2 linked regions of the Mus musculus genome follow. The protein of the gene in region 1 purifies or fractionates together with the protein of each later gene. This does not show direct contact. Links are inferred from orthologs where the notes say so. Each region holds a gene or a part of one and is shown on either strand. Other genes may lie near its edges.

Region 1 (5,970 bases):
AAGTCAAAAGAAAAGTTACTTTATTTTAGTAAATACTGTTGACAAAAACAGAAGAAAACCAGGCCTGATGACTGTTGTTCTCAAGGAGGACAAAACAGAGGGTCCCAGGGTTAAGGCCTGCCTGGGATACCAAGGTGAGCTCCAGGGCAGCCTGGATAACTGAGCCAACCTCAGCTCAGTAGTAAAGGAGAAGAAAAGGAAGAGAAAGAGGTGGAAGAGGAAAAGGAGGAGAAGAGTGGGTTTTAGATCCAACTTTTAGCACTCCAGAGAAGAAAAATAAAGCACCAAGAAACAGAGTAATAGCAAATAATGGTTTTTTGTTTTTTTGGTTTTTTGTTTTTAACCTAAAACTTATCCCAGGGCATGCTGGCATATAAAATTATGCCTCCCATAGCTGGCTCACTTTTTGTTATTAAAGTATGTATTTAGTATTTCTACCATTTACACATCTGAAATAATATTCTAAGACAGAAAATGAGACTTCTGCTTCAAATCATTAAAAACAAACAAACACAAAAAAAAATCCATTTGGCCTGTGAGGCTAGAAGGCTGCAAACTCATAGTGAGAATCATGGTAGCACAGTATCACACACTGTCTCAACTCACCTTTTTGGGGAGAAACATTTTTGAGACAAGGCTTCATACTATAGCTCACGTTGGCCTAGAGCTCAGTATATTGCTCAGGTTGGCTTTAACTCATAGTAATCCTCCTGCCTTGGCCACTTGAATACAGGGACTACAAGCATGTGGTACCATGCCTGAATCAACTCATCCTTGATTACAATAAAATTATCAGATTAAAGAAATGAGAAATAAAAGAACACTGATCTTAACACTCTGAGTTAATTTTGAAATAGAGCTGCTTCCTTTCCATAAAAGATAGGCACTGAGTTACACTGCAGCCAACACATGAAGAGAGCAGGCATTGTTCCTGAAGAAAGGTTTCTGTTAGTATGTCAAGAGTCTGTTACCTTAGGAGATTTGAGTTCTCCTCGTCTCCAGTTTGTATCAATTCTGTGCTGTCTGATATACGCACTCTTCCATGGGCTGTGTATGAAACCTGGTTTTATTATTTTTCTTCTCTTGATGTGCAACGGTTCATCAATCCCTAAAGTATCAAAGAGTTCAAGAGAATAATTCTTTTCACCACTAATAAAAATTACACATCTTATAAAGTTCTTGTTTTCTCTGCTTGGCCCAGATACTGGGCTGTGCAGCACTGAACCTCCATTTGTTCTATCTCCATTCTCTCTCACAGTGACTGTGGGAGGTGCTGGTATGAACACGCAAAGATGAGACTGTATGTGCACTGCTGTGGAAATTAGCACAGTGACTCCTAAATACACAAACGCAGTGCAGGATGCAGGACTTTCACTTCTGCATGTATATGCAAAAGGATGAAAAGCAGAGATGTGAACGGCTGTCCATACAAGTCACCGTGCCTTTCCATAGATGAACACCAAATGCAGCAGTGCACCCTGAAATGCTGCTCGCCTTAACAGAGGACACGGGGATACACGCTGTGACATTTTGCTCAGTGAATAAGGCAATCACAAAAGGACAAATGTTGTATAATTTCACTTATCATAGTTTCCTACAACAGTAAACTTATAAAGCATGTAGGCAACAGGAATGGAAGAATGGGGAGAATATCACTGCATCCTACTCAATAAAATGGCTTGAACTCACTATGGAGACCAAGATGGCCTCTAGCTTTCAGCAATCCTGTCTCTGCCTCCTAAGTGCTATGAGTACAATGAACCCCATTACCTCAGGTTATTATCACAGTCTGGACTGCCCTGGAACTTGCTATATAAACCAAGCTGTTCAGAATCATTTTTACGAAATATAGTTTTTTAAGAGGACATTTAAAAAGAACTCTTAAGCTAGGTATGTGGCATACCCTTTTAATTCCATATCCTTTTAATTCAGGAGGCAGAGGAAAGTGGATCTTCATGAGTTCAAGGCCAGCCTGGTCTGTATAGAGACACCCTGTCTCAAGGGGAAAAAAGATTCTGAGAAAGAAGGTAAGGCAGAGTTGATTCACCGTGGTTTACATAAAACAAAACAAAAAACCCGCACAACTTAAGAAGAGGATCTTATCAGTTAATCTAGGAACAGCCAGAGGTTGACTGTAGAACCAGGCTCAGCAAGAAGCACCTGAGATCCTACCCTGGAGTCTTCCCTCCTCCGCCTCACTCGTCAGTGCTCTCTACCTGGTCACACGGCTGCCAAGGGGCCTGATCTATAGAACAGAGCATTACCATTCCCCCCTCAAGCATTTTGCCCCTCAGAAACAGCTATTTTTTTCTAAATGATTACTTTTCTAGATACCTGTTTACAAAACAGAAGATTCTCCCTTTGAAGCCAAACTAAACTATACTTAATAATAGAAGGTCCACAACAGGGAGACTAGGATGAAGCAGTGCCATGTCCCCAGCATTTACAAATGTTCAGCTCACAGGAGGTGCACAGTAAGTGTTTATTCGAGGAGTATATACAATACTCAATTCTGTGGGTATTTAACTGCAGATTTGTGGCTTCCTTTAAATCAGGTGGCCTCCTTTCCTGTTGGGATCAAGGAAGTGAACAGACGCAGACGCATTCTGGCAGGCACCTGAGCCAGCCATCTACTCTCACTCACAGCCAAGTTATTCTGTTAACTTGTTTCCAGAGTAGAAACACATCTGTGTGTGATTCTGAACTTACCCTCTTCTTTACATTTCTCTCTCCAGAGAAGGTTATCCTCAGCCAAAATTCTCCAGTATCGACAAGTCTGAGCCGCTTGCAGCAGGTCTTTGGGTTCCAGGAATGAAAGCACATAGAGTGCCAACTATGGAAAAGGAAATAGGGAAGGCATACTCACACTTCAAAAAAAAAAAAAAAAAATCACAGAAAAAAAGGTTACTCTACCCAGGCTGAGCATCTTGCTAGGACTACTGCATTTCAGTGGCTGAACAAATCAAGAAAAGCAGGATTTTAAGAGCAAAGAAAATGCTCACTAATCTCATATTAGGAATCTGAGGCTTTATTCTGGGTGACCTGTGATTTTATTGGTATTTACTTACAAGGTGAGAGCAATGCCACTTATCACAGGTTTCTTGTGTGAGCCTAGTGCTCAAGCACTTAGATAACCTAAATAAATGTTGATAAAGAGACTTGAAATTGTTCACACCAATTATCAAAAATATATATATATACAAGTACATTTTGTGTAATAAATGGTAATAAAGTTTTAAATAACATAATTCCCTATAGGGTTAAGCCTATACCATTATTCTTCCACATAGACATAAAGCACTTCCCAAGTGAAGAACACCCCAGTAGCAGGAAACAAAACACCATAGCTGATATGCTAAGCCAGGGCTCTCTCCTTCCGAACATCTTTTTTCCTCAGGAAGTCTTTGAAAGAACACCGAAGGCAAGAGAATCTTTTGGGGCTTTGCCTTTTGTTAATCACCTGTGCTTACTTCTTAAATTCTAAAACACTTTCAAATTCTGGAGCTTGGTGATGACTCAGTCAGTAACATTTCATGTGTAATGATGAAGATAAGGGCTTGGATCCCATCTTGTAAAAGGCTAGGCATGGCAATTCTAGCTACAGTCACTGCTCACTGGACAGCTGCCACTCTAGCTGAATGGGTAAGCTCTCGATTCAGTGGTAGACCACATCTGCATGTACATATGTACACCCACTTGAACACATGAACATACTACACATATGCATATTCTAGAGGAGGGTATCGGCCATGTAAAATAATCAAGATGAATATCTACTTCACTTACAAAAAATGTCCCCTATTATTTTACGCCCCGATGGAAGCAAAGGAGATCTCATGTTACTTTTCTAAGTTTATTCAAAGAGTTCTGCTGTAGAAAAAGGGCACAAGAATAAACACTTTTCTTCTGGGACAATGTCATTTTTAAAAAGTACTCCAAAAGGGAAAAGATACCGGGGGGGGGGGGGAATATCAATTTTGCTTTTCCCCAGAGTTGTACTTCACTCCACTGATTTTACTCAAATCTAATGCCAGATTATATCTAGGACTATATTTAACACCACTAGGAATTTAGAGTAATTATCTAAGAAAAGAGCAAGCAAAACTCTTTCTGTTCAAATTTGAGGGTTCAGGATCATTGTATGAATGATGTGTTAGTTTTTTGTGCTATTTAACTGATATTTATTACATGTATATAGTAATTTTAAAAAATATAGGCTATGAGGATACTATTTAATATCACATTATTCCTTTCTTTTGATAAAAATTAAGCTATTAAGTCTAATGTCAATACGTGCATTATATTTAAACTATAAGCCACACATGGCTATATGATTAAGAGCTGTAAGAATCCAATTTTTATGTCATCTCTCTCTCCTCTCTTTCTCTCTCTGATGGATGATGATTAGTAGAAATGCCAAAAAGGAATATAGGTAAAATTCTATATGTTAAAAAAATTGTATAATGTAATAACCAGAGAAATACAACAATTATAAAATTTCTGATTTGAAGGGGCATTAGATAATTAACAAAATAAAAACAAAAATAATGTTGCTGCTTAATGAACCCAGAATTTTGAAAACATCCACTATAAATAATAAACACAACTAAATAACTAAAAAAATAACCAAATAACTAAAGCCAGCCTTTAGATAACCTAGGGAAAAAATTCTTGAAGAAACTCAGTGACTCTCACACAAAGCCTTACTTTATCCAAGTGGAAGGAAGTAGTACCATGGTATGAATGCACTTTATGTGACAACTGTACCAAAAGGCTATAGCAGTTTGTCCAAGTGTCAACCATAATGAGCAGGACACTGCTTACAGGCTGTGGTTATGCACCCATAACCACTGGACAGCACCCAGCGGGATGCGGTTGACAGCCCCTTACCTCTTTAGGAAGCAAGGAGATGAAGTCTCGCTGGAACTGGGGCTCTATCACTTGCATCATATGCTTCACTTGTGTTGGTTCACAGCTGTCAATGAGCTCATCTAAAGCCAGCAACTTCTCTGGTCCGCTCCAGCTCTACCAAAGAGGAATTGGACACATTACAAATTCATACAAAAGACCCGCAAGCCCCTGCATGGCCATGTTTGAGCAGTGGAACCATGGACAGAAGCCACTGAAGCGACTGCAGGTTTTAGTTTCAGCAAGTTTACTCAGTAACTTTCCCAAAAAGCATTAAAAATCATGACTGGCAAACAAACAAACCAACACAAAAACAAAAAAACCAAAGTCTGCATTTATTTTTAATTATGAGAGTTATGCATTCTTCTAACACCAAGACATTGGGAGACACGAAAATCTTGTCCTAGAAACATCCATGTGGGTTACTGAATAAATAGGGAATTTTGATAGGTCATTTTTCTCTATATATTCTCTTTAGTGGACAGCCATAAAATTTTATGGCTTGAATAAGGTTTTCATCTAAGAGCTAAGAGATTTGCAACATAAAAAAATTAATAGTTGGTTATTCTGCATATCTGACAAGTATCTTCTACACACTTTAAAAATGCTTTACTTTAAAAAATGGCAAGCAATAGAAAATATTAGCTGAGTTAATACTGCAAAATTTGAATATAATCAAAGCCCAAAATGAATAAAAATGCTGTACTTATGAAAAATGAAAACACATATACTTCAAAAGTATGGGTTCCTTTAAAAAATTCTTCCCATTTGTTTGTTTTTAATATTTTCCCTCAGTGAGCATGACTGCTCACAAAAGCCATGGCTGTTTAAAGGAACAAATTTAAGGCCATATGAATAATTTAAGATGTTGGAATTTTATAATAACCATGTAAAACATTTAAGTAACTTCACAATTGTTACGTGAAAACATATCAACACAGGCCTCTGATGAAGACACCTCTAGGGGCTAATGCACCATTTTGGACATGGATGGGTAAAGAGTAACAGGCAAGGTATGGCTCTTCCTCTAAAACTTGCACTCGGATCCCATAAGATGTAAGA
Region 2 (6,682 bases), on another chromosome or scaffold:
CCTCAGTAGGACCTTAAGTACTAAAGGGTGTACATGGGTTTTAACTCAGTGAGGATTTACAGCATTGCTCAGCTACCTACAGCCAGGGAGACTTTAAGCAAAACAGACATGAATGTGGAGCAAAAATCTAAAACTTAGAAGTGTCCCCTCCTGTCCCGGTACCCAGCATACTTAAGTCTAGCCTAAAGGGCACCAAGTCACTTTCTCCACATTATCTCAGAAGAAACACACAAAGATACACTGGGCATCTGGAAACTAGGATGTGTCTTCCCTTAAGGGTGAGTTCAGTGCCACAAGGTACACGGTTACATTTTCCAAAAATGAAGATTTAGCACACTTAATTTGATGGCCACCATGAGAAAAGTTTTGTGTCACAGAGGCCCAGCCAGGCATGGATTTCCTGCAGTGGCTACAAATCTCACAGGAGGAAGAGAGAAACAGCACAAGGGCCCATATCACAGCCATCCAATGGCCTTTCACAGGTTAGGGTGGGGGTGGAGACAGAAAAGCAAGAGTAGGAAACAGGACTCCAGGCAGTATCAGAAAACAAACTCAGTCAAAGCCTAGGAACAAGAATCGTAAGAGGCCTGATTGCTCAGTCAGCCTTGCTAAGCCCTGGCGATGGCCTCAGGATCTCAGGAAGTAGTGGGTCGCGTTCCCTCGGGGCTCGGCTCCAGCTTACACCTCCATCCAAGCTAACAGGAGCATGTGGGTGGGTAGTGTTCCAGAAGTGACTATTCTGCACTCAGAAACAAAACTGCAGGCCAAACTTTTCAAAAATACAAAATGCTAGGTACCTAGAGTTCTGACAAAAAAAAAAAAAAAAAAGATTTTGAAAGGATGCCTCTCCTTTGAAATCAACTATTCTATACAATGTTCTTTACGCAATGTATTCTCAATAAGTAAGATAGGTTGCTGCTGTGTGTATGCTCTTCAGAAAAAAATTCTCAATTAAGAATCCGAATAAAGGACTGTTGGCAGTTTATTCTTGGTTTTGGTTTTCCGTGGGTCTCTTTTATTTGGCTTGGTTTTCTAAGAAAGTTTAGGGCTGGAGAGATGGCTCAGGGGTTAAGAGTACTGACTGATCCTCCAGAGAATCTGGGTTCAATTCCCAGCACCTTCGTGGCAGCTCACAATGGTCTCTAATTCCAATCCCAAAGAACCCAGCACCCTCACACAAGCAGGCAAAACAGCGATGCATATAAAATAAAGATAAATTTCTTAAACAACTAGACAGCATTTACCTACCTCGAGGTATCAGGAAATACGTTACATTTTAAAACTAATCTAAGCCATTTCTGCATTTCAATGGAGTTACCCAAAAAAGTTAATTGTACTTTATATTCAAGTCAACTTTTTGGTTTAAGCGGAGAAATACCCAGAATGCAGTCAAAATCAAAGTCCAGAAATTAAAGAAAGAATCCGGACCATCTCATCTCTACCCCATAGATCCCTGAAGCTGAGAGTGGAGCTGTGCAGTCAGCAGGCATGCATTTGCCTGCACAACACACTGTGTATACATTAGCCACATGCACACAGGCAGCACTGCTCTCAGCCTGATGCACAGCAAGTGGGAGCTCTCCCCAGCTAACACCAGCTGACTTGGTTATTTTAATTACCTATAAAAGTGTCATTGCGGTCACCCAGTCACCAAATTGGTTGGGGGGGGGGGTAAATACCGCCTAGTCAATACATTTGCTGATCTATGAAGGTCCCTGAACCTAATAATAAATGACAGACAAGGGAAGGGGGGGGTGAAAAAAGAGACAGAAGTAGTTTTATCCTCACATCAAAAGATCAACGGTAAATTACCACAGGGGTAAAAGGAAGGACCCCCAACTTCTAACTGAACCTCGAAACAGCCTCAGGATAAAATTCGGGGTGATCAGGAATCAGCCTGCTTACAAGAGTGGGAGCAGGGGGACTGTGTCACTCCTGTGTCTTTGTAGGCCAAAATCATGCTTGATTTCTTCATCAGCATGAAAACAGAATGACACTTCCAAAGTTGGCAACAATTCCTCTTTCTCCACTAGTCTCCAAGGGGAGAAAAAGCATCTATGCCACCCATAATTAAATGTAACTAATTACAATTTGAACACTAAATTATTTATCCAGTGTAAACAAGGACTAAAAGGAAATAAAGCTTCTATCTGCAGCAGGGGTTCCAGAAAATAATTTGCAATAAATGCATGCTCTCCAAAAGTCAGCACCCTCCCCCCCAGCACCCTCCCCACCAAAATTGGGCACACAACTAAAATAAGTTGAGTTTTTAAGGCTAAATTAAATAGGCCGTTCAACCAATTTTCCAATTATATTCTACGCTTGAAACATAATTGCCTTACATCTGTTTACAAATCTTTGCTCAATATTTAAACAAATTCGTACTCTCCCGGGCACATAGCTACACACACACAGTAACTCAGGCACAAAGCGCGTATTTAAAGACCATGCACTCCCATTATCAGCGTAAGCGCCGGGTTTAACAACGCGAATGTTTTCAGAGCTAGGTAATACGACCCAATAAAAAGCAAAGATGGCATTTACCACCAAATGTCACTGCCACCGCCAGGAAAGAGTTGCTGGAGCTCTATACATTTTTAATTTCGACGAATCGAGCCGCCGTCGCCCGGTGCCAGGCTTCCAGAAGAACAATTGACACCCTAAATGGTTCGAGATTAAGGCAGGCGATGCACTTCCAAAGCAAAAGTTGTCAATTATCAGAGGCGAGAGCGGGAGAGAGGAGAGGCGAAGGCAGATAAAAGCGATGTTATCAAACCGCCCAGCTTGTTGCTCGTGTGTGTGTGTGTGTGTGTGTGTGTGTGTTCCTTGTTAAAGCAGAGAAAACAGTTTTTAAAGGCAGCGGAGGAGAGCGAGGAGCAGCAGCTTCCTCCACCTTCCGTGGGCTCCGAGCAATGGCTCTCCCGCTCTCCGGCGTAGTAAACCCCGAGAGGCGGGCGGCTGTCCGTGTTTACAACGGCGCGAGCGAGCTCCGGCTGCCAGAGTCCTTTTCCCTGACACCATCGCCTTCCATCAACTGTTTTCGGGCGAAATCGCAGGTGTCATTGTGGAAATATTAAAAGGAAAAAAAAGGGAAAAAAACGGAGAAACAGAGGAAGAGAGAAAGAAAAAATCAGAAGGCAGACGCCGGCGAGTGGGAGAGCAGCCGATCCGATCGGGAGAGAGAGAGAGAGAGAGGACGAGCCTGCAGCTCACCCGCGCCGGCGGCTGCACAAGGCAGAAAAGCCTTCCACATTTCGGGGAAGGAGGAGAAAAAAGAAAAAAAAAGAAAATAAGGGGGGAAGGGGAGGGGAGGGGGTGTGATTGCCACGGAGGTGGGCGCTCCGAGCGCGCCCCGGCGTCCGCAGCGCCCCGACTTCCCCACGCACGTCCACGCCGGGCGCCGCGCTCGCCGACGCCGCCAGGGCTCCGGGAGGAGAAAGTTGCGCGGCGGGGAGGTCGCGCCCCCCAACCCGGGCTCCCCCCCGCCCCGCCACTCACCAGCGAGAAGAGGTTGGAGTGACAATCCTCCAGGCTCGCCCCGTTCGCTACCCAGTTCGCCGCGGCGGTCATGGTCCTCCGCGAGCCCGGCCGCCAGAGCGGGGCATGTCGGAGCGGGCCGGGCCGGGCGGCGGCGGCGGCGGCTCCCGGGCACCAGGGGCGCGAGGCCCGCGCGGGAGGCCCGAGGGCGGCGGTGGCGACGACGGCGACGACGGCGGCGGCGGGGGGCGCGGGCCGGCAACGCCGCCCGCCTCTGTCGCGCAGGGCCGCCGCCTCCGCCTCCGCCTCGCCGCCTCGTCGGCCGCCTTGTTTATCTCCAAGCCGGCGGGCGACTCGCCCTCGGCCGCGCCGGCGCGGGAGGCACGCGAGCCCCGCAGCCGCCCCGAGCCGCCGCCGCCGCCGCCGCCGCTGCGCGAGCCCGCGAAGGGGGGGGTGCGGACGAAGCCAGCGGGCGACCCCGGCAGCCGAGCGCCGTCCCCTCCTTCCTCTTCCTCCCCACCCCCCCCCTCCTCCCCAGTCGGCCGCGCTTCTCCTCCCTCCCCGGGCTCGCTCGCTCTGACAGCAATGGCGGCCGCCGACCGCGGCTCGGCCCGCCATTGGCTGCGGCGCGTCACGTGACGGGCGCCGGCCGCGCGGGGGGCGGGGGAGGGGCCGCGGCGGCGGCGGCGGCGGCGGCGGTGGTGGCTCGCGGGAGGCGCTGCTGAGCCGAGCGAGCGCGGCCCTCTCGGAGCGGGGTGACGGAGCCAGGGAGGGAAGAGAAAGAGGTGCGGGCGGCCGTGGGACGCCGGGGCTGCGTGGACGCCCCGCCCTGGGCGCGGGCGCGCGTCGGGCGCGGGCCGAAGAGGGCCGCGGCTTCCCCGGAGCGGCCTCCGAGCCCCCCTGGGGGAGCATCTCGGGTCCCCGAGGAGCGGCGTGGGCCGGCCCGGCCTGGCCGAGCGAGCCGAGGAGTGTCTCCTCCTCGAAACCTCGCGCGCGACCGCCCGCCGGCCTGCCTGCCGCAGCGCACCGGGCGGAGGAGTAGGACTCAAAGAGACACAAAGGCAGCGAGCGAGGTGCTTGCCCGGGGTCGCGGGATTCGAACCCAGGCATCGGGAAGCCAGGGCTCGGGACTCACTGCCTCCCGAGCGCTGAGCTCCTAAAGCATCCCGGCTGCTGGAGCCCTTGGCGCCCACTCTGTGCGTGCACGCAGGCATTCCTTACATAGATGATCCCAGCGCTCTTAGGTGCCACATTCACACTGGGCTATGTGGAGGGGAGCAGGCCCTTCCTCCAGCTCCAAGCGGTCAATAATAACCAGCATCCCTTCTTCAGAGAGTAATGGGACTGGGAGAAGTGCTGATGCCGGAGACTGCCTTCCAGGACTTTTCGTCGTGGAAATAGAGAAAGGGAGAAAGTTGACTTGGAAAGAGGTAGAATTAGGCAGGCGTATCTCTATGAGTTCCAGGCCAGCCTGGTCTACACACTGTCTCCAAGAAACAAAGGAAGAGTAAAACGCTGGAAAGAGCGGTGGAAGCAAAATAAAGCGGGCACAAATCTGACATATGAATGGAGTTTTGAGACTACCACAAACCTTAAACCCTGGAATGAAGGTGGCCCGAACACATAGGTCATTTCACAGAGTCCTCAGAATCGGGGTGCAATAGCATCCCCAAGGTCCCAGTTACTGAGTGGCTCAACTCCTGAACTATCTGAATTCAGGAGGCTCTGGAGAGGATGCCAGGAGCTGGCTCTGCTACACCTAGCTGTGACCCTGCCCAGCAAAGTTTAACTATGCCTCATTTTCTAATCTGTCCAAAGCAAATCCTAATTGCTGACCTGCTGACCTCAAGCCAAGGTCACACATTTCCGTTAAGATGCTATTGGGGGAAGGGTTACAAGGGGGAGTTGCCCGACACTTTATGCACACATGTGGTATTACTGAGACCTGAGCAGTCAGATGGTCCATCACACCCAGAATCCACGCATACTCATCACACGCGTAGGCAAAAGGCTATGAGCTGGTCACAGTCTAAGCAAGTCATAAGGGGAAGGAAAAGGGGGGTGGGATGCTGCACAGAAGCAAAACCAAACAAATAAGAAACAGTTTACAGGGCTGGAGATTTGGCTCAGCAGTTAAGAGCACTGACTGCTCTTCCCAAGGTCCTGAGTTCAAATCCCAGCAACCACTTGGTGGCTCACAACCACTCGTAATGAGATCTGACTTTCTCTCTTCTGGTGTGTCTGAAGACAGCTATCGTGTGCTTATTTATATATATATAATAATAAATCTTTTAAAAAACAAGAAAAACAGTTTACAGATTAGGAATGCTAGCATTTCTAATAAAATAAATAAAATTATTTTTTAAAAAATGCTCAACTTTATATATTGCTAGGACCAGATATTTGTGTCCCACTTACCATTCATGTTGAAACACTACAAGGGACAGGTTTTCGACATGGTAGTTAGCACGTGGATGAATTCCTTGTCTTGAAATAAGTGCCCTCTGAAGAGACATAGGAAAACTTGAGTCCCCCCACCCCTATCCCCCTTTGCCATATGAGGTCATTACCAGGAAGGAGGCTGTAACTGGACCAAAATGGGTCAATACCTCAGCCTTAGTCTTCCCAGCTTCCAAAATTATACAAATAAGTTTCTGTACTTTATGTCATTTAGTCTACCAAAACTCAGTTAACACAAGCAATTCAAACAGACTCAGGTATACTGGAAGGAAATCAGAAGTTAAGATCACACTGCCAATGTCAGCTTTTACACATGCAGAAGGAAGCAGAGCCCTTGGGTCGTAAGGACATGAGTATAAAGCAGCATCAGAGCTTTGGATGCCCAGGCAAGAACTCTCCACTGGGGCTGCAGAGATGCTCTGTGGTTGAGAGCACTTGCTCCTCTTGCAGAGGACCCTGGTTCAGTTCCCAGCACCTATAACCTTCTGAAACTCCAGTTCCAGGCGACCCAACCTCTTCTGCCTTCCACAAACACCACACACATGCATACATGCATGTTGAGATAGGGAGGGAGGGAGAGAGAGAGAGAGAGAATATGGGAGCAAAACACACACATAAATTTAAAAGAATTTTTAAAAAATAACAATTACATTTACAATGGGTACACTCTTTGGCCCGGTAATCCTCTTTAGAGCAATTCAGACACAAATACAGGTGTATAAAGGCTTGGAATGTAACTAGTATG

The links. The genes of interacting proteins can lie anywhere in the genome.
Region 2: the proteins of Fbxw7 (region 1) and Med13l purify together in Homo sapiens (affinity purification with mass spectrometry; 4 studies listed by BioGRID, with this or other methods). This does not show direct contact. The link is inferred for Mus musculus from reciprocal best matches to the Homo sapiens genes FBXW7 and MED13L.

Annotation. Positions count from the first base shown.
Region 1 is NC_000069.6:84,964,303-84,970,272, reverse strand, and holds part of Fbxw7 (F-box/WD repeat-containing protein 7), read right to left. Parts: intron 5,026-5,970; coding exon 4,891-5,025; intron 2,834-4,890; coding exon 2,710-2,833; intron 1,109-2,709; coding exon 972-1,108; intron 1-971. UniProt on the Homo sapiens protein: Substrate recognition component of a SCF (SKP1-CUL1-F-box protein) E3 ubiquitin-protein ligase complex which mediates the ubiquitination and subsequent proteasomal degradation of target proteins.
Region 2 is NC_000071.6:118,557,674-118,564,355, reverse strand, and holds the start of Med13l (mediator of RNA polymerase II transcription subunit 13-like), read right to left. Parts: upstream 3,638-6,682; 5' UTR 3,571-3,637; coding exon 3,499-3,570; intron 3,495-3,498; exon of another isoform or gene 2,545-3,494; intron 1-2,544. UniProt on the Homo sapiens protein: Component of the Mediator complex, a coactivator involved in the regulated transcription of nearly all RNA polymerase II-dependent genes.